Linked DNA regions of Astyanax mexicanus. The protein of the gene in region 2 interacts with the protein of the main gene of each other region in a biochemical or structural test. Links are inferred from orthologs where the notes say so. Each region holds a gene or a part of one and is shown on either strand. Other genes may lie near its edges.

Region 1 (11,162 bases), on a different chromosome or scaffold from region 2:
TCAAGTGATGGAGGAGTGGGTTGAAGAGTGAAGATGATCAAATGTCATGATCAGATGGATAAAAAAGAAAGTAAGCAGATTAAAGAGCACTGAGAACTGGTGGGACTTGGGTGTTTGGAAATGTGTGTAGGGAAGATTCCAGCAGTGGTGGGCAGCAGCAGTGAGGGATGTGTGTGGTTGATGTAGTATAATGAGTGGGTAACACACAGGGGCCTTTCCTGTGCTAGACTGGGGTTTGAGTTCCTGGCTGGGTAAGAGCACCACACTATACATTGTGTACAACACCAAAGCATTGCTTTCTTTTACCGGTGTAACACGCTTTACATGTAATTTGCTCTGAAAAAATGTAACAATGTGCACCATCCAGGGTTCCTAGGGTCATGAAAAACCTGGAAAAGTCATGTTTTTTGAAAATAGCAATTCCCCAGGCCTGGTTAAGTTTTGGAAAAATAAAAATACCTAGAAAGTTTTGAAAAAGTCATGAAAATTTGGTCAACAAATCTATGTTTTCGTTTATTGATGCTCAAATACGTCAGCTCAGAGTTAATTCAGCAATTTAGCCCTACACAATGGAGCTCTCAGGATCTGACACACATTTTATTATTAAAGATTGTGTTTCAACATTTTTCTAAGATTAATTTTAGGCCTACTATAATCAAATTCGATTATAGTTTTAGTTGATTTTTGGTTTTATTGTCCATGTCTGCACTGGTGTTTTAAAAATCATGTGGTCATAAAAATTTGCCTTGAAGGCATGGAACAGTCATGAAAAATAACTGAAATATATTGGTTAAAATGTGTATGAACCCTGACCATCAAATGATTTTAAAAAGAAAAAGGTGGTTGGTGTGGTGCAATGGATAACAGTACTACCTGTCTGCCAGTGAGCTACAACCACATGTAGAGGAGTGGGGTTCAATACCCACTCTGGTGACAAAACAGTGTGCCAATAGTCCTTGGGCAGACTCTTCTGTAATACCTCTATAGGACATGTAATAAATGCCAGAAATGTAACTGTAAAGTTTATTGATTTTTTTTTTTTAATCAAATTAGTGCATTACCAAAAGTTCAATATTACTAAATACAAAAATAATACATATTGTCATGCTATAAACGTACAGTATGAATATAGTTTAGAGTTTAATGTCTGTAGCTAAATCATGTGTATTAATTAAAGGCAGCAAGCTACTTATAATTCTTATCATAATTATCAAAATGTATTCTCAACTTTGTTTTTATCAAACTAGTGCATTACCAAAAGTCTAATATTATTAAGTACTAAAATAATACATATGGTCAAGCTTATAATATATATATATATATATAGTTTAGAGTTTAGTGTCTGTAACTAAATCATGTGTGTTAATTAAAGGCTGCAAGCTACTAATAATTCTTATCATAATTATCAAAATGTATTTTCAGGCTTTTATCAAACTAGCGCATTAACAAAAGTCTAATATTACTACATACTAAAATAATACATATTGTCATGCTATAATCTTATAGTATACATATAGTTTAGTGTCTGTAACTGAATCATATGTGTTATTTATAGAATAACTCATAGTTATTCTGTCACCTACTGGACTATGTATTGTTATTGAGTGTATCGTGTATATTTTTATACTGTAAAGCTATCTGTATATCTTATTTTATATTATATTTTATTTTATTATTCTTCTTGTAAATATTGTTCTCTGCACATTAGTGGGAATCTGCACCCACGTTTTTCACTCACATGTACACCTGTACTGAATCTTCAATCTTTAGAGGCTGCAGGCTACTAATAATTCTTATCATAATTATCGAAATATATTCTCAAAAAATATATATATATTCATTTTAACACTATTTTAACAACTTTTTTTACTTTCAAAGAAAACTGATAGAATTTTAAAGCACACGTGACTCTTCCCAGTGCTTTATTTTGATCTGAAAACAATGAACGTGTCCAAAATTCAGTGAAACAAAAGAAAACAAAAACAATGATGCTCCACCCACCGGCCAATCATATCGCTCACTCAGCTCACAAGCCACGCCCCCTCAGTGAACCCGCCTCTGTTGTAGTGGCTCCGCCCCCTCCACATGGCCCTGGTCCTAAAGTTAGAGCAGTAGTGTGAGGGGAGCAGTCGCAGAGGTGAGGAGTGTTCAGCGGAGAGAGCGGAGTGCAGAGTGATAAAAGAGTGATAGAGGGAAGATTAAACGGGGGATTGGAGTGATCATCACTCGCGCGGCAGTGTGTGTGTGTGTGTGTTTGATCAGATCATGAAGAATATGACTTTCAGGCGGATCAAGAAGCTGAACTCCAGCGAGCCGGACGGAGGCTCCTGCCCGGGCAGTGGAGATATCTACTTCTCCTCCTCCAAATCAGACAGCTGCAGGAACATGGAGAGACCAGCCAGCTCCTCAGACATCTACAACTACAAGACCCTCGCTTACTCTGGAGGAACCCTGCCCAGGAACTTCAAAAAGGTAAGAAACTCTATTTTCTGGAAGCTCAGCTTATTTCTCACGCTCTGGAGACCATGGGTTTTTGCTCTGGGCTGTAGGTTGCAGCTTCTTTAAAATCTAAAAGCTACTACTTTAAGTGGATCGGTGTTTCCCAGCAACTCTGGTTCAGAATATCCTCCAGTCCTTTGAGGACCATTGGTTTGCATTTCTTTGATATCTTTTTTTTGTACTCTTCCCAACACACACGTTGATCACCCATGGTCTTCTCACATGTTGAAGGACATTGGTTCTTCTCTGGGATGGTGGCAGTAGCTAGCTTTATTTTGAAGCTGTTGTGTTCTTTAAAGACTTTAAGACCATTGGTTCCCAACCCAAGTTCTGGATGAACTCCTTCTCCTGCACATTTAAGTGTTCACTTAAATGGCTTGTTGTAATACTTTAGGTAGCAGCTTCAAGTTCTTCAGTGCAGTGGTCCCTGTGCCTGGTCCTAGTGGAGCTTTAGTATTTAGCATGAACAACACTCATGATCTTCTTACAAATTAAAACCCATTGGTTCTGCTCTTGGTTGAGGATAGCAGCTTCTTTTAAACCTAAGATCCGTGGTTCCCAGCATCAATGGTTCTGAATATTCTCCAGTCCCATGAGGAACATTGGTTTGCAATTATTGTTTTTCCTTTTTTTTTTTTTTTTACAGTTCCCAACACACCTGCTCATGATCACACCTTAATTTTGAGAGTCTTGGTCTTCCAACTCCCATGGTCTTCTCACATGTTGAAAGCCATTGGTTCTGCTCTTTTAAAGCTGTTGTGTTCTTTAAAACCTGTTTAAAGAACTAAATCATGTGTGTTATTTCATATCATAATTAATATAAATTCTTTAAATGATCAGAATTAATCACTTTTAAAAAGTAGAAAAATAAAACTGTCATAGAGGATTTTGAAATCTATTGGTTCTTCTCTCATGCTAAGGGTCGCAGCTTTAGACTCTTCAGTGCAGTGGTCCCCATGCCTTGTCCTTGTGATTCTTTAGAATTTATTCTGATCAACACTCATGATCTTCTTACAAATTAAATATCATTGGTTGGTTCTGCTCTTGATGATAGCAGCTTCTTTTAAACCTACTACTTTAAGATCAGTGGTTCCCAGCATCTTTGGTTCTGAAGAAGCTCCAGACCTATGAGTGCCATTGTTTTTTTTTTTTTTTTTTTTTTTTTACTACTTTAGACCCTTTAGCTTTGTGGTTCACAAGCTTGCTTATGGTGGTCCTTTAATATTTACTCTGTTTCCAACACCCATGATCTTCTCCATTTTAAGGAGGGTAGCCAAGCGTAGCAGCTTCTTGTACAGTTTCAGATAACACATTTTGCAGACTCCTCACGTTAGAGGTGCTTGTGGTCCTGCTGTGTTCACCCTGCTCTCAACACCCATGGTCTTATATTTTGAAGTCTGTTGGTTCTTCTCTCTGCTGAGGGTAGCAGCTTCTTTTACAACTTAAGATAACACATTCTGTAGACTTCTCACATAAGTGCTTCCCAACATTGGTACTTGTGGTCCTGCTTTGTTTACCCTGCTCTCACGCCTTGGTCTTCATATACAGTATATTGAAGCTTATACAGCATTTCTAGACTCCTGTGATTTCTAGACTTCTAGATTCCTGTGCCTAGTCTTGGTTGTTCTTTTGTATTTACCCTGTTTCCAACACACACAGTCTTCTTTTATATTAATAGCCATTGGTGCTTTTTGTTACACAAGGTAGTGGATTATTTAAAAACACTTTAACACTTTTTCTAGACTCTTTAGGTCATTCGTTTCTAGCCATAATTCTGAAAGACCTCCATTTATACAAAGAATGTTGGATCTGCTCTATGCATTAGAAAACAAACTTTGGGATTGTAGGTCCTGCATGCTCCCAGCACCCATGGTCTTCTTACATTTTGAAGGCCATTGTTTCTTTTCTCTGCTGCGTGTAGTAGCTTCTTTTACAACTTCAGACAACTCTGTTTAAAGGCTCTTCTGGTCCGTGGTTCCCATGCCTAGTGCCTAATGTTTACCCTGCCCCCAACACTCCTGATCTCCTTGCTTTTGAAGACCATTGGTTCTTCTCTCTTCTGAGGGTAGTAGCTTATTTTTAAGCCTTTGGTAAGCACCTGTCGTAGACTCTTTAAGATCACTTGTTCCCCCACTTGTTTCCAACTTTGATTCTCTCACTACTGACTAACTGATTAAACAAGTGGATTTGGGTGTGGATAAAGTTGCTCTGGTTTCAAGTCTGGTTATGGAATACCTCTTGTCATATACATTTCAATGTTTTTTTTCTTTCTTTCAGATCAGTGGTTCCCAAGCCTGTTCTTGGTGGTCCAAGTGTTTGCTTTGCTCCCAGCACCTGTGGGCTTCTTATATTTTGAAGGCCATTGGTTCCTCTCATTGCTGGGGGTGGTAGCTTCTTTTAAAACTTGAGGTAGCACTATTTCTAGACTCTTTAAATCAGTGGATCCCAACTCAATTTGGAGTTTACCCTGCCCCCAACACCCCTTACCATCTTATAATTTGAGGACCATTATTTTCTTGTTCTCTTTATAACCGTGGTTTCCAATGGTCTGTGATATATTTTAGAAAATGTGGTGGTGTAAAAATTTGTTTTTTTTCCCACAATTTTCTAGTTTTCATTTATCTCTATCACAATCTGAATTTCAAGAAATATTTTATTTCCCCATCTGATGATATAATCCAACCTACTTTTGTTACAAGATGAATATCGCAAAATTGAGTAAAGCTTTATTTTTTTTTATTTGCATTTTGAGGGGCAGAATTGAAAAACTAGAAATTTGGGCAAGCTTATAAATAAGCCCCCGGAAGAATTTGTAAACAACAGACTCTTCCAGAGTAGAAATTGGATTGTTTGAACAGGAACCCACTAAAATGTGCAAGGCAGAGCCATGGTTGGGACCATTGCTTTGAAATCATATTGGGATACTGGCTTTAAATACCGCTATAATTGTCATATTACTGATTATCAATTAAGTTCCACCAGACTTTCTAATAAACTGGCACATGCAGATCATCTATGACCAAAATAATGTTATGTGACATTTTAATCTTCAGATTAATTGTCTAAAATTACCCCCTACTGCGAGAGAAGCTGAAGTGAACTCTGTTCTTGTTAAGCTTCTATAAACAGCACTGCTGAAGTGCTGTGATTAATTAAGGTTGATTAGAAACAGTGGTCGGTGGTGATGTGGCTGCTGCACGCGGCTGCTGGTGAATGCAGCAGCGGAGTCAGCACGTGCGTTTGGACACGGTCGCAGTTGGCTAGTTGTAAACGGCGCGTGGCATGTGAATCGTTTCTCACCTGCGAGCTTCCGCGAGCTTTTTTACACCTGCTCACACCTGGTCTGATATTTACATACGTTAGGAGCACTGCACGAGACCTGCTTACCACTAACTGCCCACTCAAAGTAGGTATAATAATGTATTTCATTCTGAGTGAACAAACACTGTGCGTGTGTGTGGTAACTTAAATCAGTTTCTGTATAAAATATCAAGCTCTTTATCTAGGTATTAAATGAATGAATGAATAACTGGCATAGACATAAAAGCTCCCTGTAATGGACATCATTCGTTAACACATGCTGTATATATTGTATATCTCACAGACTAAATTTCATAGCTGCACATTTATTCACCTAAAATTACAGAACTATTATAAAATATGTAATCATAATCACACCTGCCACACGTTATTTTTTAAAGGAATACCTACACTCCATAATATATTTTAGTTACAGTAATAGCTTTTATTATTTAAGTATATTTCAATGTGACTTGCTGTGGGGCTTTTAATTTGAAGCTCAAAACGGCGGATTAGAATTGTATTGACTAACAGCTGGCTAAGCGGCGTTGCTAACAGCTAGCTAAGCGACGCTGGTAACAGCTAGCTAAGCGGCGTTGCTAAACGGCGTTGCGAACAGCTAGCTAAGCGATGCTGCTGACAGCTAACCTGGCTAAGCGGCGGTGCTAACCGCTAGCTTAGCAGCGGTGCTAACAGCTCAGCGGCGGTGCTGATTAGATGTGGTATGTTCACAGCTTTTTGATATGTGTTTGATGGTACCTTACTCTGGTCCTCAGTTTAAAGGTGAGAACTCCAATTTACTTCATAACAAGCATAAAAGATGGTCAGTAGTTCGTCTCAGTAGCTAGCTAACCTAGCTAACTCTTCTATTCCACCTTAAATGGAACAGAGGAGGCATTAATTAAGGTGGAACGGAAAAATAAAATCAAATAAAACCCATTGAAAACTTAATTCAGCTACCCCTCACAGAAGAATTAGGAAATAGACAATATTAATTAATTGCTGCTTCATCTGCCCCCTTGCTGAAAGTGATTCCAGAGTTTGTTGTTGATAATTATCATACTTAAAAATGCCCAAAATTTCTTTGTAAATTTTGTGAAGAGTTTGTGATGAATTGGCCAAAAGAAATGCTCCAATGATATAATGATACAATGTCTTTTTTCTGTGCTTATTTATGATTTTATACGTGAATTTAATGGTATACATGCATATTGTCATACTTCTATAATCAAAAAACAAGTCCTAAATGTGCTGTAGGGGTGTATGTTAATATAGATGCAACAAAGTATCACAGTATTATGAGTTGCAGTTCTAAATTATATTGGTTCTCTAAAACACAGTATTTATTGTTATTTATTACACGGACGATTGGTGTCAGAAGTGGTTTGCTGCTATTCTAGTGGGCAGGATTTAAACGCAACACATGTGTTTAAATCCTGCCCACTAGAATAGCAGCGCCAGTGATGTACTCAGATTTCACTGTTATAAAAGTTTCTTTCTTTCAGCTTTTATAAATAAAAAAAAATAGTATTTATACTATGGCAGTTTATCTACAACTGGATTTGAGTAATATACATTGCATTATATAATTATATCACAATATATTGAGTTATAACCCCTGTATTGTGTCTCTGGAGGCCTCCAGTTTCACAACACGAAGCACTTCACTCACAGGAGCCATTCATCTCCTGAGCCGTGCTGAGCTGGGTGGTGTTCTCTGGGAAATAGTGGTGTAATTTCCAGCACTGTTACAGCACACATGGTCACTTACTCACTGTTCTCTCTTCTCTTCTCTTCTTTTCTCCTGGGTCCACACATCTTGAAGGACGTTCATGGTCACTGATGGCGTTATGGGGTCTAGACCACCCACACACTCTGCTCTTGACCAGAGACTCTGACCCTGGGCTGGTCTGACGCACTGTAAGTGGTCAGTCGGATCCTGCACATTACAATGGGCCCCCCTGTGCGGAGTACAGCGCTGTACTGTGCGTTATATGGTGTGGATTTGCTTTGTTGGCGTCATTAGAAGGGTTTGGCTCGTCATTGCACTGACCGTGGGTCAGGGTGGTCATTCCTGTGGCTTGTTCAGTGAGGGGATAAGTGTCCAAAGCTCAAACAAACCACTTTGTCCCATTCGTTCTGTCTGATAACTGGAGTGTAACTTCTTGAAAGAGTCTGAATTCAGCGTGGCTTATTGTGCTGAGTGATCCGGGCCACTGTGACCAATGGAGATGCCTAAGTAGCTCAGATAGAAGAGAGAAGAACGGAGAGTGTACCTTCTTTGCAGTTTAGAGCCGTATTCTGAGTCTGAATGCAGTGGGACACCTGCTTATTTAATTGTTTTGGTCTGATATGAAGGGTTTAAAAAAAGGTTTATATCCTGTTTTTGTTGGAGTTACTGTCTCTCCTGTCCATGGAAGGCTTTTTTTAAAATCGATTTTAGGGCATTGCTGTGGAGATTTTATTTCATTTAGTGTAACAGGAACATCAGAGGTCAGGACATTGGATATATCAGTGTTTCCAGTTTCCAACCAAAGAAAAATAATTTCATTTTGAAGAATATCTATTGGTACCTTGGTCCATAATAAAATGGGGATGCAATATAAAGAATAACAGTCAGATTTAGGTGGTTAAAAAGTAGAAAAACTACAAAAATGGAGATACAAGAATTTTGTGGCCGTGAAAATATGTGTCCATAATTTGACCAATCTTTGTTTTTAGATTTTATATTAATGATAGTGATTCACATGCAACCACAAAATTACTGGTAAAAGTTGGGACTACTTTTTTTGGCGGAGGAATTTATCTGATTATATTTGGAACAGTATACAAAAATAATTGTATTGCAAAAGGTCGTATAAACCCAGAAGAGAGTTTAAGGTCATGCTATCGTGAGTAGCATCACAGCTTTGATGATATAAACAGCCGGTGTGTGTCTGCGGCCGACTCACAGCCTTGATGCTACTTCTGATAACAGACAACTGCATACAAAATGTTGCTCAAACATGCAGTGGCATTGAAATATGTTCTTAGGTAGAGATACTACATATCTTATAACTCGTATCTCCAAAACGGCGACTTTACAGTAGAAGCTGAAGAGCTTCTTATCTTTCAAAGGAAGTCAATGTAAATACATTCAATTCCAGGTGATTTTAGAGCATTTCTATTGGTCCATTTCTATTGAAATTTGGACGCAATGGTTTGAAAGTTTCTCAGATTCACGATTTGTCAAAAATAGGCCTGTTACCGATACTTTTTTTTTTGTTTGGATGCTGTATTGTCTCAGAAATTATTGCGATAAACAATTTTTGCCATTTAAACCCTTAAATGTCCTTGTTCTAATAAAAATATGTTGTTTACAGTAATAATATAAACTGAGCTCAGTTCAACATCTTCATTATTTAGATATACATTGACTCAAAGGTACAATATCGAACTGTTGAGGTGAAGTTAAAGGGTTAAACCAATTTAAAGCCACTGATATGAAATGACAATATAATAGCATAATGCATTTACTTAATTTAATTCATGATAGTTTGTGGGATGAGAGATTTATACTTTTTTCCTCACTCTGTGTGTATGGAGGCTCAATTATTGCTGTATTGGTCACTATGCTACTGGTAAAATATTGGTAAAATGTTAACTCAAATATTGTACAATAAATCGATATTGTAGTTATTGTGGCCGACCTAGACAAAAAGTGATTTGTATTGAGATAAATAAGCTATGATCTGAGTATAATGTGGGTTTTATGACTATAAACATCATGAGGTTCATGTCTTCATGAGGTAGAGTCACCTGGAATAGTTTTCTCAGCGTCTTGAAGGAGTTCGTGGAGGTGCTGAACAATAGTCGCTGTGAAGCTCCAGCTCATCCCACACCACCTCAAATCACCATCTCAGTTTATCAGGTTTAGATCAGGGGATTGTGGAGGAAAAACATATATATATTTTTTTAAATGTTTAATACGTAATTCTATATGTCTCCCTTAATTGTTTTCATGTCTTAAATATTAATCTACACTGAAAAACTTTGAATGAGAAGGTGTGTCCAAACATTTGACGGGTACGTATGACTTTACAGTAAATTTTGCTGGACACCCGTTACTGGACACTGGTTGGGCGATTTATGAAGAGCCTCCTGTATCCCACCTCCCACACCCAAACCAGCCCCCTGACCACAACAGGGTATTATTGTGTAGCTAACGAATTCTGCCCCCCCATTACAGCCACCCTCCTCAATACTACCACCCCCAAGGGAGCCTCGGGGGTACTTGGAAATAAATGAAGTCATTGAAGAGACCCCAGGACGATTGTGGAAGTGCTGGAAAATAAAGAAAGGCAGCATTTTACTGGAGCAGAAGGGCTTCTGGTACAAAGTGCACTTTGACTGCAACAACACTCCGGCCCATTGAGGTAGAAACGGGTGAATTGACTTCAGTCAAAACAGACATAACGCGGGGTGCACTCCCAGCCCCTTCGGCCGGTGGAGACTGGGTGGGGTCTCGCCTAGATTTGGCTTTTACATCAATGAAGGCATTGTGAGGAGGCGGCAGCAACTCCGGACCTGTGTTTGCCTACACTCGGCTCTGTGTGTAAACTGAGGTGTGTGTTAGAGTGATGGATTGGTCGGACTCGGGGCTTCCAGTAGACGTGGCCTCAGTAGAAGCAGCAGTTTACAGCAGATCCTGGGTTCCTGGAACTCACAGCAGAGTGCAGACACGCATCAGAGACTCATCAGATGACTTCAGATGCAATCTGATAGTGTTAGTAAGGTGACTGTAATCAAAAGTCCCTGTCCTTGAGTATCTAGGTATTTTAAAAAAATGTTCTTCCCCATATTTTGGCCTTCTGTCCACACAAACACCATGGAGTATAAAAAACCATCAGCTGAAAAACATTAACTGAGAAGTCCATAAATATATATCTTTCTTCTCCATGCTTTTTCTTCCTTTCCACACAAACGGCATTTTTTGGTTACTATAAATGGAGATTTTTGAAAATGGGGCTATCTGAGACTCATCAGACACAATATGGTGGCATCAGAAAAATGTGCAGGACTGTCAACTCTTCCACTGTTCAGAATCTGAGGAAAGAATAGCTGACCATCTCAGTAAAGCCCTAAAACATTGGAAAACATGCATAATGCCCTTTCCACGATTATTCAGATATTTTTGCAAACTTTCTTCCCCATATTTTGGCCTCCTGTCCACAAAAAACACCATAGAGTATAAAAAAAGTGAAATCACAAGGCATGTGTTTTTTACAGTCTGAGCAGCAGTTCTGGGCAAACTGTGGGCTTGTGAAACTCATGGCACAGTACAGAAACTAATAAGAGACTCATCAGATGCTATCTGATGGCAT
Region 2 (11,228 bases):
TTTCTCTGGTTGTCCGAACGCGACAACATGCGTGTGGGGGCAGAGCTGGTAACGTCATGAGCCCTGCATTGTTTAATATAGCATTATATATATCCCTGGAAAAAGAATATTTGCAAAGTACATTTTTCTCAATGTCATGCAGCCCTATTCCAGACAAGGCCTAAAAGACAGGCCCCCTCACTCATTACTTGCTGGGGTATTCAGATATGTAATTTACCTATTACAACGTTTCCTTCCGGTTTCTGAAATAAAAGGGTGACCTGTGACCCTTTGTATATACACAAACACAAGTGTGTGTGTCTGTGTGTGTGTGTGTGTTTGTGTTTTTACCTTTGAGTGTGGCTTTCCTGAGAACCTTCATAGCGTAGAGCTGATTACTGTCAGGAGGTGTAATCTTCCGCACTAGAAACACCTGCGCAAAAAAAATTCAACCCAAAATAAAAATCTCAGCCAAAAATATATCACTGAGGTCACTGTAAAGTCCAACGTTTAAAAATAATGCTGATCATCATTAGGCCGGTCATGATAATGGACAATATATTCTCCCAGGATTTATTTCAATAAATGCAAATTTCCCCATTGAGGGATTAATAAAGGTTTATTCTTAGAAAAAATAGGAAAATATATAAATAAAAATGTGTAAATATTTTACACAAATACATAAAATAAAACATTATTTAAATAAAGTTGGCAAAGCAGATCAATTACGTTAACATTAATTGGATAGGCTTAAAAACTTTATTTGTATAATATTTATTATTTTTAAACACAGTGCTGGAGTGTAGATCAGGTAGGTGGCTTTGGGTCCACGGAAGCTCTGGATGACTGAGTATGGTAGGGTAAATAACTGACTGACTGACCACATGTTTTCAATGAGAACAGGGCATGTGGAGTCAGACGATGTGCACTTAAAGCACTGAGGTTTGGTCTGACTTGCATTTGAACAGAAGTTACAGATATCAGGGTATCGCCTGATTAAATGATATGAAAGACTACAGCATCAGTAAAACTATATTGTTTGTGTATGTGTCTGTATGTGTGTGTGTGTGTGTGTGTTGCCTGCTACAGTGGCTAAAAACAATATCCGCTAAAGTACAGGCATGTGTATGTAATGGGCAATATCGAATGGAGTAAAACCCATTGAAATAATGTTTATTTATAATACAATAAGTCAATAGGGTAATTATAGCGACAGGCCTAGGTAATCATCATCATATTGTTTTATTTTAAGGTCATGATAAAGATTACGGTTAGGAATGATTTATGATTAGAACAGAAATCAGAAAATAATTTTAACTACACAAATTCACATCATGTCCAGAAATCTAATTTCTGACCTGACAGTCAAATAAAAAAAAATTGACCAGTCTGAAAACCCTGCCCATAATTTGTGATGTACTGAGTTTATAATGGTGCTCAGTGCACCATGGCTGATGACTGCATCGAGATTTTAAGAGGATGGCCATGGGGATGGGTTTTGCATATTAAGCATTAGGAGGTTATAATTAAAACTGTTTAGAGAATGTTTAGTATAATATAGAAATGTGTGTGTGTGTGTGTGTGTGTGTGTGTGTGTTTTCATACCTTGCCGAAAGACCCCTGGCCCAACACCTTGAGCAACTCGAACTGGGATGGGTCTGCTTTCTCCGCCCCCTCTTTAACCACATGTGTGATGTTAATCTCTTTGATGACATCATCATCCTGCAAAAGGACACATTTTTGGTTAGGTTTTATAAAGGAAGCTTTATTTTAATAACTCAACATTATTTTGGAAACAAATAAAAATTTAATAAAACCTAGACACAGGATTTAAAATAAAACAATAAGGAACAAAGTAAATTACAATATCAAAAGTCAAGGACATAATAGGGATAAACATAAAAATTAAGAGAACAGTAAGAGAGAGGCCAGAATTTTAAACAGAATAAACTCCAAAATAAAAATGAAAGGACAGTTTAAAGCCCAAATTTAAAATGTAAAATATAATAAAGTCCTTATCTCTAGTTTCCCCCCAAAAAAAACAAACAAAAAAAACCCTACTGCATCACTTCATGGCTTCATTGTGTCCAGATTAACATCACAATTTCCATGATCTAATTCATGGAACCAGCATCATAGGTTCTTATTCACATTAACAGCATATCAGCCTGGAAACCCCCATTATCACCAGTCAGATTATCAGCTGCAGTCTGCGGTTTGGAGCTGTGTGACACCAGAAGCACCTCCCGCTTCTTAAGACCAGACCAAAAGCATGCAAGAAGAGAATAGTGACAGTGTTTGTTAGCAATATTAGCCTAGCATCTCCCATTGTGGACCAAATAAGTCTGGTCAACTGGTATTAGATTGTTTAACCTGTTCCTTTAGGTGAAATGAAGCACAGGTGCTTGGTGGGAAATGGGAGTATAAAATATAAACATGTGCATATTTAGGGCTTTTTTTACACCTGAACGTGTGGACCAGTATGCGAATCACAGTCTGTATGCATCGTTTACATTAGGTCCAGATAGTTTTGATTTCACACTGCAGTTCAGCAACAAACTGAAGAACTGCGCGCTGTGTTCAGTTATCTTCACCTGTGTGTGCTGACACTGATTGGTTTGTAGAAGGGCATGTTGTGTTAACAATGTAATAAGTTGTCTTTCCAGTTATTGTGCTAAATTCTGCCTCGCTACAAAAATCCTCTGAGTGCATGTGCATCATTCAGCAGAGAATTCCGCTGGATAGTCTTTATTAATACACCCATTAGAGCTCTGAGAAACATATAATATAATATAACAAATAACATATAATAAATGAGATCAGATGCGGTGACACACACACACACACACACACACACACACAGGAACCAGCAGAGGAACTCCACCTCGCAGCACAGTTACGGGAAACGAGCCTACTTCACCATTTAAACCACAGTGTCAAATAACTCAAAATAATCTCGCTGTACAGAGGGATTTAAATACACACTACTTTACTATCACCAGCACAGGCTGTCTATCAGAACCCCGGCTCTACAGCTACGATTACTGGCCACTTTATTTCAAATGCCAGCCTTACATTTACCCTTATTGGCCACTGACTTGGAAACCCAGCATTACAGTTGCCCTTAATAGCCACTGGAATACCCAGCTTTACAGATGCACTTACTGGACAAATTAACTGTAAATCTTGCACCACACTGTATTGAAAACCCCAGCCTTACTGGTACATTTCAAACAAGTCAAACAAGACCAATTTAAATATCTTAACACAATAAGGGTTGGGCAATATCACTTTTTTTTTGTGAAAACATTACTGTGGTATATGCTATTATATGGGACAGGAATTTGCAGGAACTGCTTAAAGTCCTATGTTTACATGGCTGCAAAATAATTAAATGTTGGGTTATTTTTTTAACAGAAAATTTATTAAATACAACATTCAGGCTGTTTACTTATAAACGTTTAGACAAAAAATAACAGGACAACAGGACAGTTATCTAAATAAATAGTGACAGGCTAACCGCTAATAGGCTAACTGCTAACATGCTAGCCCCTTACAGGCTTGCTGCTAACACCTTTGCCCCAGGCTAACTACTAACAGGCTAGCTTACGCTACTGTCTGTGCAACAGTTTTCCAGATAAATAAGGCAAATGAGGAAGTCACACATATTTTGAATCTTGAATATATATGATAAAGCTTTAAACCGTCACACATTCGAGTGAGACTTTTAAGGGATATCTTGCAGACTCCTGTATGCAGGTTTAGTTTACCTTTGCAAATCTCTGAGACAACTTTTTGTATCCTTCCCCTGAACAACTATGTTGAACAATCTTTGTTTTTAGATCATTTGATGTTTTGTTTTGATGAGCCCATGATGCCACTCTTCAGAGGAGATTCAAATAGGAGAACAACTTGCAATTGGCCACCTTAAATACCTTTTCTCATGATTGGATACACCTGGCTATGAAGTTCAAAGCTCAATGAGGTTACCAAACCAATTTTGTGCTTCAGTAAGTCAGTAAAAAGTAGTTAGGAGTATTCAAATCAATAAAATGATAAGGGTGCCCATACTTTTGCACCGGTCAAATTTTGGTTTAATGCATATTGCACATTTTCTGTTAGTACAATAAAACTCATTTCAATCCTGAAATATTACTGTGTCCATCAGTTATTAGATATATCAAACTGAAATGGCTGTTGCAAACACCCAAATATTTAGAACTAAGATTAATAGGGGTGCCCAAACTTTTTCATATGACTGTATAAATTATTCCAGGGCTTACTCCATATGAAGCCTCAGCTTGGTTTTGCAGAGCACCAGCTTGAAGTTGTTCCTAACGCATAGACACCTTCTGACCACTGCCGCAGGGCCAATTTCTTACAGGTTCTGCCAATCAGGTGCCAGTCAGGCAGAAATGGCACCAGAAACTTAAAAAAAGTGTTTTTACAGGAAAAAACACAAAACTTTGTGCTATGTTTAGTTTGACCAAAAAAAAAAAGTGAGTCCTACCAAGGTTTGTTCCTCCAGCTCTGAGGATTTTTTTTTAACACTATTACCTCGACTTGGTCACCTGCGTTGTTTTGTGTTATGTTTTGTTGATTTTTTTCATATTATTGCATTATTGGTTAATATTGCTAATGAGTTTGACTGCACTGAACCTTTACTTGCCACTTACCGCTACCCATATACAAACACAGGCAGCCATAGAGAAAACAGAGTGAGAGCAGCCAAGTCACGCCAAACAAAGTGTGTTTTCCTTCTAATTGTGCTGATATCACATTAAAATTAACCACCTCCACTTAGTTACACTTTGAGTCGAGTGTTTGACACCTTTTAAAAGACGTAAACACCCACAGATCACATCCTCATCACATCTCAGTACTGCTCCTCCTCTCACATCGAAACTAACAGCTGCCCTGACCCAGTCCTAATCACACAACACTACAGGCTGAACCCATCTAAGACCAGGTATCAGAACCAGTCCAATACCAGCAAGACACCACTAAACTATTAGACCAGTGTAAGACAATATTTTTAAATATAGTCATTGATCTTTTTTTATTACAGTAACAGTGTACAAAACTTCCTCTACCATGTTTGGAAGGTGCGAGTTTTTTTTTTCTACGCTGACATGCCAAAAGTAATGGGACAGCAGGTGTTGCCTCACATAAAATTAATTTCTACCATCTATACCATAAGGTTCTTCTTTTTAATCTTTATTAAACCAGGTTGTTTATGGAACCAAATTGGTTCTTCTATGGCATCCCTTAAAGAAGCACTAACTCTTAAGAGAGTGTAGACTTATGTAATAGTGTCTGTGTGCGTGCATGTTGTGTACTGACCATCCACTGCCTCTGTTCGCATGTTGAAGCGGTGCTGGATGCAGTTAATGATGCGGTGGCAGCTGTGCTGCTATTGGCCTCCACCAGTGGACAGAAGTTAGAGCCATTAGGGTCGTTAGCGCCGTTAGTCAGCGCTTTCCGCTGTTGTCTTTTAAACAGGTAGAGTGTGAGCACCTGCCTCAGCTTAAACTTCCCTCTCTCTTTCTCTCTCTCCATCTCTTCATCTCTCCACCAGTCCGGGGTTCCCACAGTCACCTCCTCTATCTGCCTCCTGCTATGGTTAATCTGACGGACCTCGGCATCTCTCTCTCACAACACTAACTGACTACCGCTCGCCCAGCTTCACACAACTCACACTACAACTCGTACTGCTGCAGCGCGAGAGCGAGTGTGAGAGCCTGAACGAGGGATGTGAAATGTAGTTAGACAGGAAGGAAGAGGTTGAAGGGGAGGGAGAGAGAGAGATAGAGAAACTTACTGAACTGAAAGAAACATACAGGAGATGGAGAAAGAAAGAAAGTAAGAGAAAATGCTAAAAAATAAGCTAGATATGTAGAGACAGAGAGAGAGAAAGAAAGAGAGAGAGAGAAAGAGAGAGAGAAAGAGAGAGAGAGAGAGAGATGATGGTGATTGACAGAGAAAAAAGAAATAGGCCAGAGTTAGTGATGGTAGAGAAAGTGAGATAGAGATGAAGGGGAAGGGTAAAGTGGTAGAGAGGGTAAAGACAAAGGTAGAGAGAGTGAGGGTGATTGTAAAAGAGAGTATTAACGTTTGTGGTTGACCGTTGACCGATGGAGGTTTTCACTCTTTTCAGTCATTTAAGGTTACATTTAATCTGCCATCTTCTACCTATTTTGTGTATTTGCATATAAGATCAGCACTCAAAGCATATATGGGCCCAAGGGGCTCTCAAATAGCAACTCATCCAATGGTGAAATAGATACAACCTCATTTACCTTTAAGAGGATGTGTTGCTAGGATTTATCACAAGCCTCTACAAACCCCCTTTCTATTACCACCTTAGGTTAAAATTCAAATGTACTATTACTGCCATAAATGTAACACCTTTGCTTCTCGTATGTTCTGGGTATGTCCTGTAATTATACAATTTTGGAGATATGTGAACACAGTGTTGTCTGATATTCTTAAAACAGAATACAATTGGGATCCATGCTTTTGTCTCCTGAATGATAACTCCAACTTGGAGTTGAAGATGATACAGTGCAAGCTATTGTTCTCTGGATTTACTGCTGCTAAAGAGACAATTCTACAAAACTGGATTACACCTGGCCTTTACATGGAATCATTTTGGGTGTTTAATCTACTGAATATAGCAAAACTTGAATGTACCATAACTCGACTTCACCATGCTAAGCCCTGTTAAAACATGACAGACTTTTGTGCTGAATATTTTGGATTTTCTTGGAAAGTATGCTTTGAATACGGACACTTTCTCCTATTTATCTCTATCTGTGAAGATTGTGCCCATAGATATTTGTCACTCATGCTCCTTTTTATTTTGCATTCACTCTTTCTGCCCGTCTGCTGCTCCCCATACAAATCCTTAATCACAAAAAAGAAAAAGAGTAAGATGTAAAAAAGAAAGAGAATAAAGATAGAAAGAACAAATAATTACACATAGTAATGAAGAGAGAGAGTGAGAGAGAGAGTGAGAGAGAGAGAAAGTGAGATGATGGTGATTGAAGTAGAAAAAAGAAAAAGACTGAGGAGTTATGGTAGAGAAAGTGAGAAAGAGATGGAGGAGAAGGGTAAAGTGATAAAGAGGGTAAAGACAGAGGTAGAGACAGTGAGGGTGATTGTAAAAGAAAGAGAGAAAAAGAGTAAGGTGAGAAAGAGAGAGAGAAAGTGAGAGAGAGAGAGAGAGAGAGAGAGAGAGAGAGAGAGAGAGAGAGAGAGAGAGAGAGAGAGAGAGAGAGATTAAAAGTTTAGGGTAGAGTGAACAAGAGAAAGTGAGACTTAATGCTACAGCAGTGCTGTACACTAGAGGGCACCATTTCTCTGTGTATAATAATTAGAGGCTGTGTTACAATTCAACCAGTTCCCTTAAAAGGGTTTTCACAGAATGCTCCCCCCAAAAAATATACAAAAAAACCCAGTTTTTGTTATTGCAGTCCGGAAGCAGGAGTTGTATCACTATGTAGAAGTATAGACACACTTAAAATCCTTTTATTTTCCCAAAAATCGTGAGTGCATCTTATAGACCGTTTCAGAGGAATATTCATGAGCGTAGGAAGTGACGTAGCTGTTCCTAGGACACTTCCGTTTAGCCGTAAAGAGCGTTCAAAACAGTGGACGTAACTTTAACATAATTTAACATGAATGCAAACTTCACCTAATCTGAGAGTCATAAACATTGAAAATCAGGTCAAATTGTTCTTTAAACAAGTAAACTATGGAGGACCAAAAATGACATAAGTATAAATAAACACACATAGAAATGTATAAATATATAAATACATAAATGAATAAATAAATTAATGTTGAAATTAATAAATATATATGTAAATGCACATATAAATGAATAAATAAAAAAATATATGAATAAATAAATAAATACATGCACAAATAATTGTATAGGTAAATAAATTAATAAATACATTTCTTATTTATATATTTATTTATTCATTTATATGTGCATTTATTTATGTCAACATTTATTTATTTATTCATTTATTTATTTAAACATTTATTTATTTATACTTCTGTCATTTTTGGTCCTCCATAGTAAACACGCCTGCTTTCATTTTTCACACTGCGAACCTGCCATGCAGTTACAGTGTCCGCTCACAACTTCTCCCTCTTTCTTATCAATAAATAATGCAGAGTACGTGTTGGACAGCGTTTGACTTGCTCCACCTCACCATACACTATAGTGATGCTTCTCTACTATAGGAACTCATATTCCCAACTTCCACTGAGAAAGTAATTATATGCGCTCAAACTGCGGTACGCTTTCACTGCGTTTCAACAAGATAGTGATCACATCTGGGTAGGTCACATCTGGCAAGCGTTTTAAATCAGACAGCTGTCAGTGTTGGGCACGTTACTTTGAAAAAGTAATTAGTTATAGTTACTAGTTACTTCTCCAAAAAAGTAACTGAGTTACTAACGGAGTTACTCCACTATAAAAGTAACTAGTTACCAGTAAAAGTAACTATTGCGTTACTTTCCCAGTAAAAAAATGAACAAAAGAAAATTAATTATGTAATTACTATTATTATTAGAAAAATAGCAAACGAAAATAAACCCAAAAATGTTGACAAAAATATAATCTAACAAATTAAAAAAAGATAAGAAACGAAATACTCCACATGACCAAAGAAAATTACTAAGACTTGCAATACTGAAAAAAAAAAAAACGGAAAAACCAAATAGCATCTGGGGATAAAAATTAAACAAACCAAACCACACTCTAAAACCACTCCGCTGAAATTCAGTGTTAAACAGAATTTTCAGTTTAGTTGCCCAGCATTAGAATTAGCATCAGCTACTAACCGCCCTAAGTGCTAGCTTGTTGGCCGACCAGAGGTGAGTGTTACTGGCCTGTAGCTTGCTGCTAACCCACGCTAGCACTGCAGAAGCAGAATTAACATTATCCACTTACCACAGCATTAGATTAAAGGTGAGTATATCTGACTGTAAACTGCATGTTTACAGTGTTAAAACAAGCTACGTGGGACGATAGCTAATATCGCACTTACCGGAACACTCAGGGTTCTGTCGGGCGGCATTAGCAGCTAATCACTAGCGGTTAGCGGCTAATGCTAATGCTCCAGTCCTTAGTGCTGTAAAAATGTGGATATCTAAGCTTACTGTAAATAAGCACAAGCTTTACTAACACAAATAAACAGTTTTCAGGAAATTAACATCCAGCACGGACTTATGACTGAATTTTTTTTATTATTATATATTTTTTTTTAGAATAGTTTTGTTTACTTAGCTTAGCTTTACAGGTCTCACCACGCAGCAGACAGACCTGTTGAATTTAAAGGTAAACATGGCGACACCCTTATTCCTTACTAGTGTCACAAAATGTGCCTTATTATCCAGTGCGGTTTATGTATGAAAATAGATATTTATTGATAGTGCGCCTCATAATCTGGTACGCCTTATAGTGTGAAAATTTGGTAGTATCTTCAAAAAGCGTGTAGCAGCAGGTTAGTAGCTGAAATTCGTAGCTCAGTTACAGCAGAAAAGACAGAGTCTAAGCTGAAAGCTCCAGGTGAGTTCTTACCTGTCGAATGTTGGAGAAGTCTTTCTCCACCCACGTGATCTCTGACTGCTTCTGTTCAATGTAGGAGGAGAATGATTATGACTATGTATTAGTTAGTATCCACTATGACTGATTTATATTATATACTACAAATTATTTAGTGATTACAGTATCCAGTGCAAATCATTTGGCATCCACTGATAATGTATTCATTATTTACAATGAATAATTTAGAAACAAATATGAATCATTCAGTATCCACTATGAATTAAATATGCTAAAGTTTTATCAGTATGTATTATGAATTTTAAAATATCAACATTACTATTAATATTAATATATTAATATTACTATTAATATTAATATAACTATTAATATCACTATGGATTATGTAGTGTCTTTTATTTACAAGTTCCTGTCTTAACTCCTACAGCTAAAAAATATGAAGTCACTATGATGCCACAAACACACACGCACGCATACACACACACAACTCACCATTACTGCATAACTTTGTTTCCCACTTTTCAAAGCTCATAAACAGCTACTCGTTCTACTAAAACAATCACCAACTACCCTTAAACACACACACACACACACACACACACACACACACACATAGAGACACGAGCACACACACGCACAGTCCAGCCTAATCATGTAAAAATGACTCAAGTGAAATTTCCTCTGTTCCTTCTGCTATTTCAACACAGCAGCTTCAGATCAACAACGACATGCACTCTCCGCTCTTACACCATCGAGTTTAGCTCCAGAGGGGGGGAGAGGACTCAGTCACAGATACTCTTACTGCACTACTTTAGTAGTATATCAGAATCCAGTGCTTGCCAGAATTGTACAATTACTAGGCCTGGACCAAAACTTGATTATCACTAATCATTTTCATTTAATTGTTAAAAGTCTGGGCCTTAACTTAGTTTCGAATGCTACCAAACCTTGTTCATGACTTTGAAAACTATAAGGACTAACCATCGACTTAACCTCAAATACTACAAAACATGCCTTGACTCGGATTAATCAAATACAATGTCTCTGCCTTTACCAAGACTTAAACTTGACTCTGGACACGACTACCATATTTTTCGCACTATAATAGAAGGTGCACTTAAAAATTGTCAGTGCGCCTTTTAATCCAGTGCCTCTAATGTGTGAATTCTACCAGGCAGGTTGTAAGGAGCAGTAAAGACACCAAATTGAGGGTTATTCAGGAGTTTCAGTTTAATGTTTCAGGCATTGGAGTAGCATTAGCATTAGCTGCTAACCACTATTTCACCGTTCAGAGGGAGTATTATTGGCCTGTAGCCATCTGTGTAGATTAACATCAAGCATTCGTTTGACTTTAAAAGAAAGTCTTTTTTCTATTACAGTTTTGTTTACTTAGCTTAGCTTTCCTTAACCTAGTTACCCCCCCACCATCACCCAGTGGCAAGACCTACTTAATTACAAGTTCTTTATAGAGCCTTATAATCTGGTGTACCTTGTGTATGAAAATAGACCAGGAAATAGACATTCATTGATAGTGCACCTTATAGAGCAAAAAATATGATATAATAAAGACTGGAACCAACCACTACACAGGCTACTGTGATAAAAGACTCTGACAAAAAGTACAAAGTAAAACGTGCAAACCAATGTCCAGGATTTCACAAACACT

Evidence for each region. The genes of interacting proteins can lie anywhere in the genome.
Region 1: the proteins of rps6ka1 (region 2) and tamalin interact in a test that uses a peptide from one of them, tested with the Homo sapiens proteins (2 studies listed by BioGRID and IntAct). The link is inferred for Astyanax mexicanus from reciprocal best matches to the Homo sapiens genes RPS6KA1 and TAMALIN.

The regions. Positions count from the first base shown.
Region 1 is NC_064420.1:44,914,087-44,925,248, reverse strand, and holds the start of tamalin (general receptor for phosphoinositides 1-associated scaffold protein), read left to right. Parts: upstream 1-5,644; 5' UTR 5,645-5,683; coding exon 5,684-5,905; intron 5,906-11,162. UniProt on the Homo sapiens protein: Plays a role in intracellular trafficking and contributes to the macromolecular organization of group 1 metabotropic glutamate receptors (mGluRs) at synapses.
Region 2 is NC_064421.1:34,847,104-34,858,331, forward strand, and holds the start of rps6ka1 (ribosomal protein S6 kinase alpha-1), read right to left. Parts: upstream 5,726-11,228; 5' UTR 5,539-5,725; coding exon 5,323-5,538; intron 1,702-5,322; coding exon 1,585-1,701; intron 413-1,584; coding exon 331-412; intron 1-330. UniProt on the Homo sapiens protein: Serine/threonine-protein kinase that acts downstream of ERK (MAPK1/ERK2 and MAPK3/ERK1) signaling and mediates mitogenic and stress-induced activation of the transcription factors CREB1, ETV1/ER81 and NR4A1/NUR77, regulates translation through RPS6 and EIF4B phosphorylation, and mediates cellular proliferation, survival, and differentiation by modulating mTOR signaling and repressing pro-apoptotic function of BAD and DAPK1.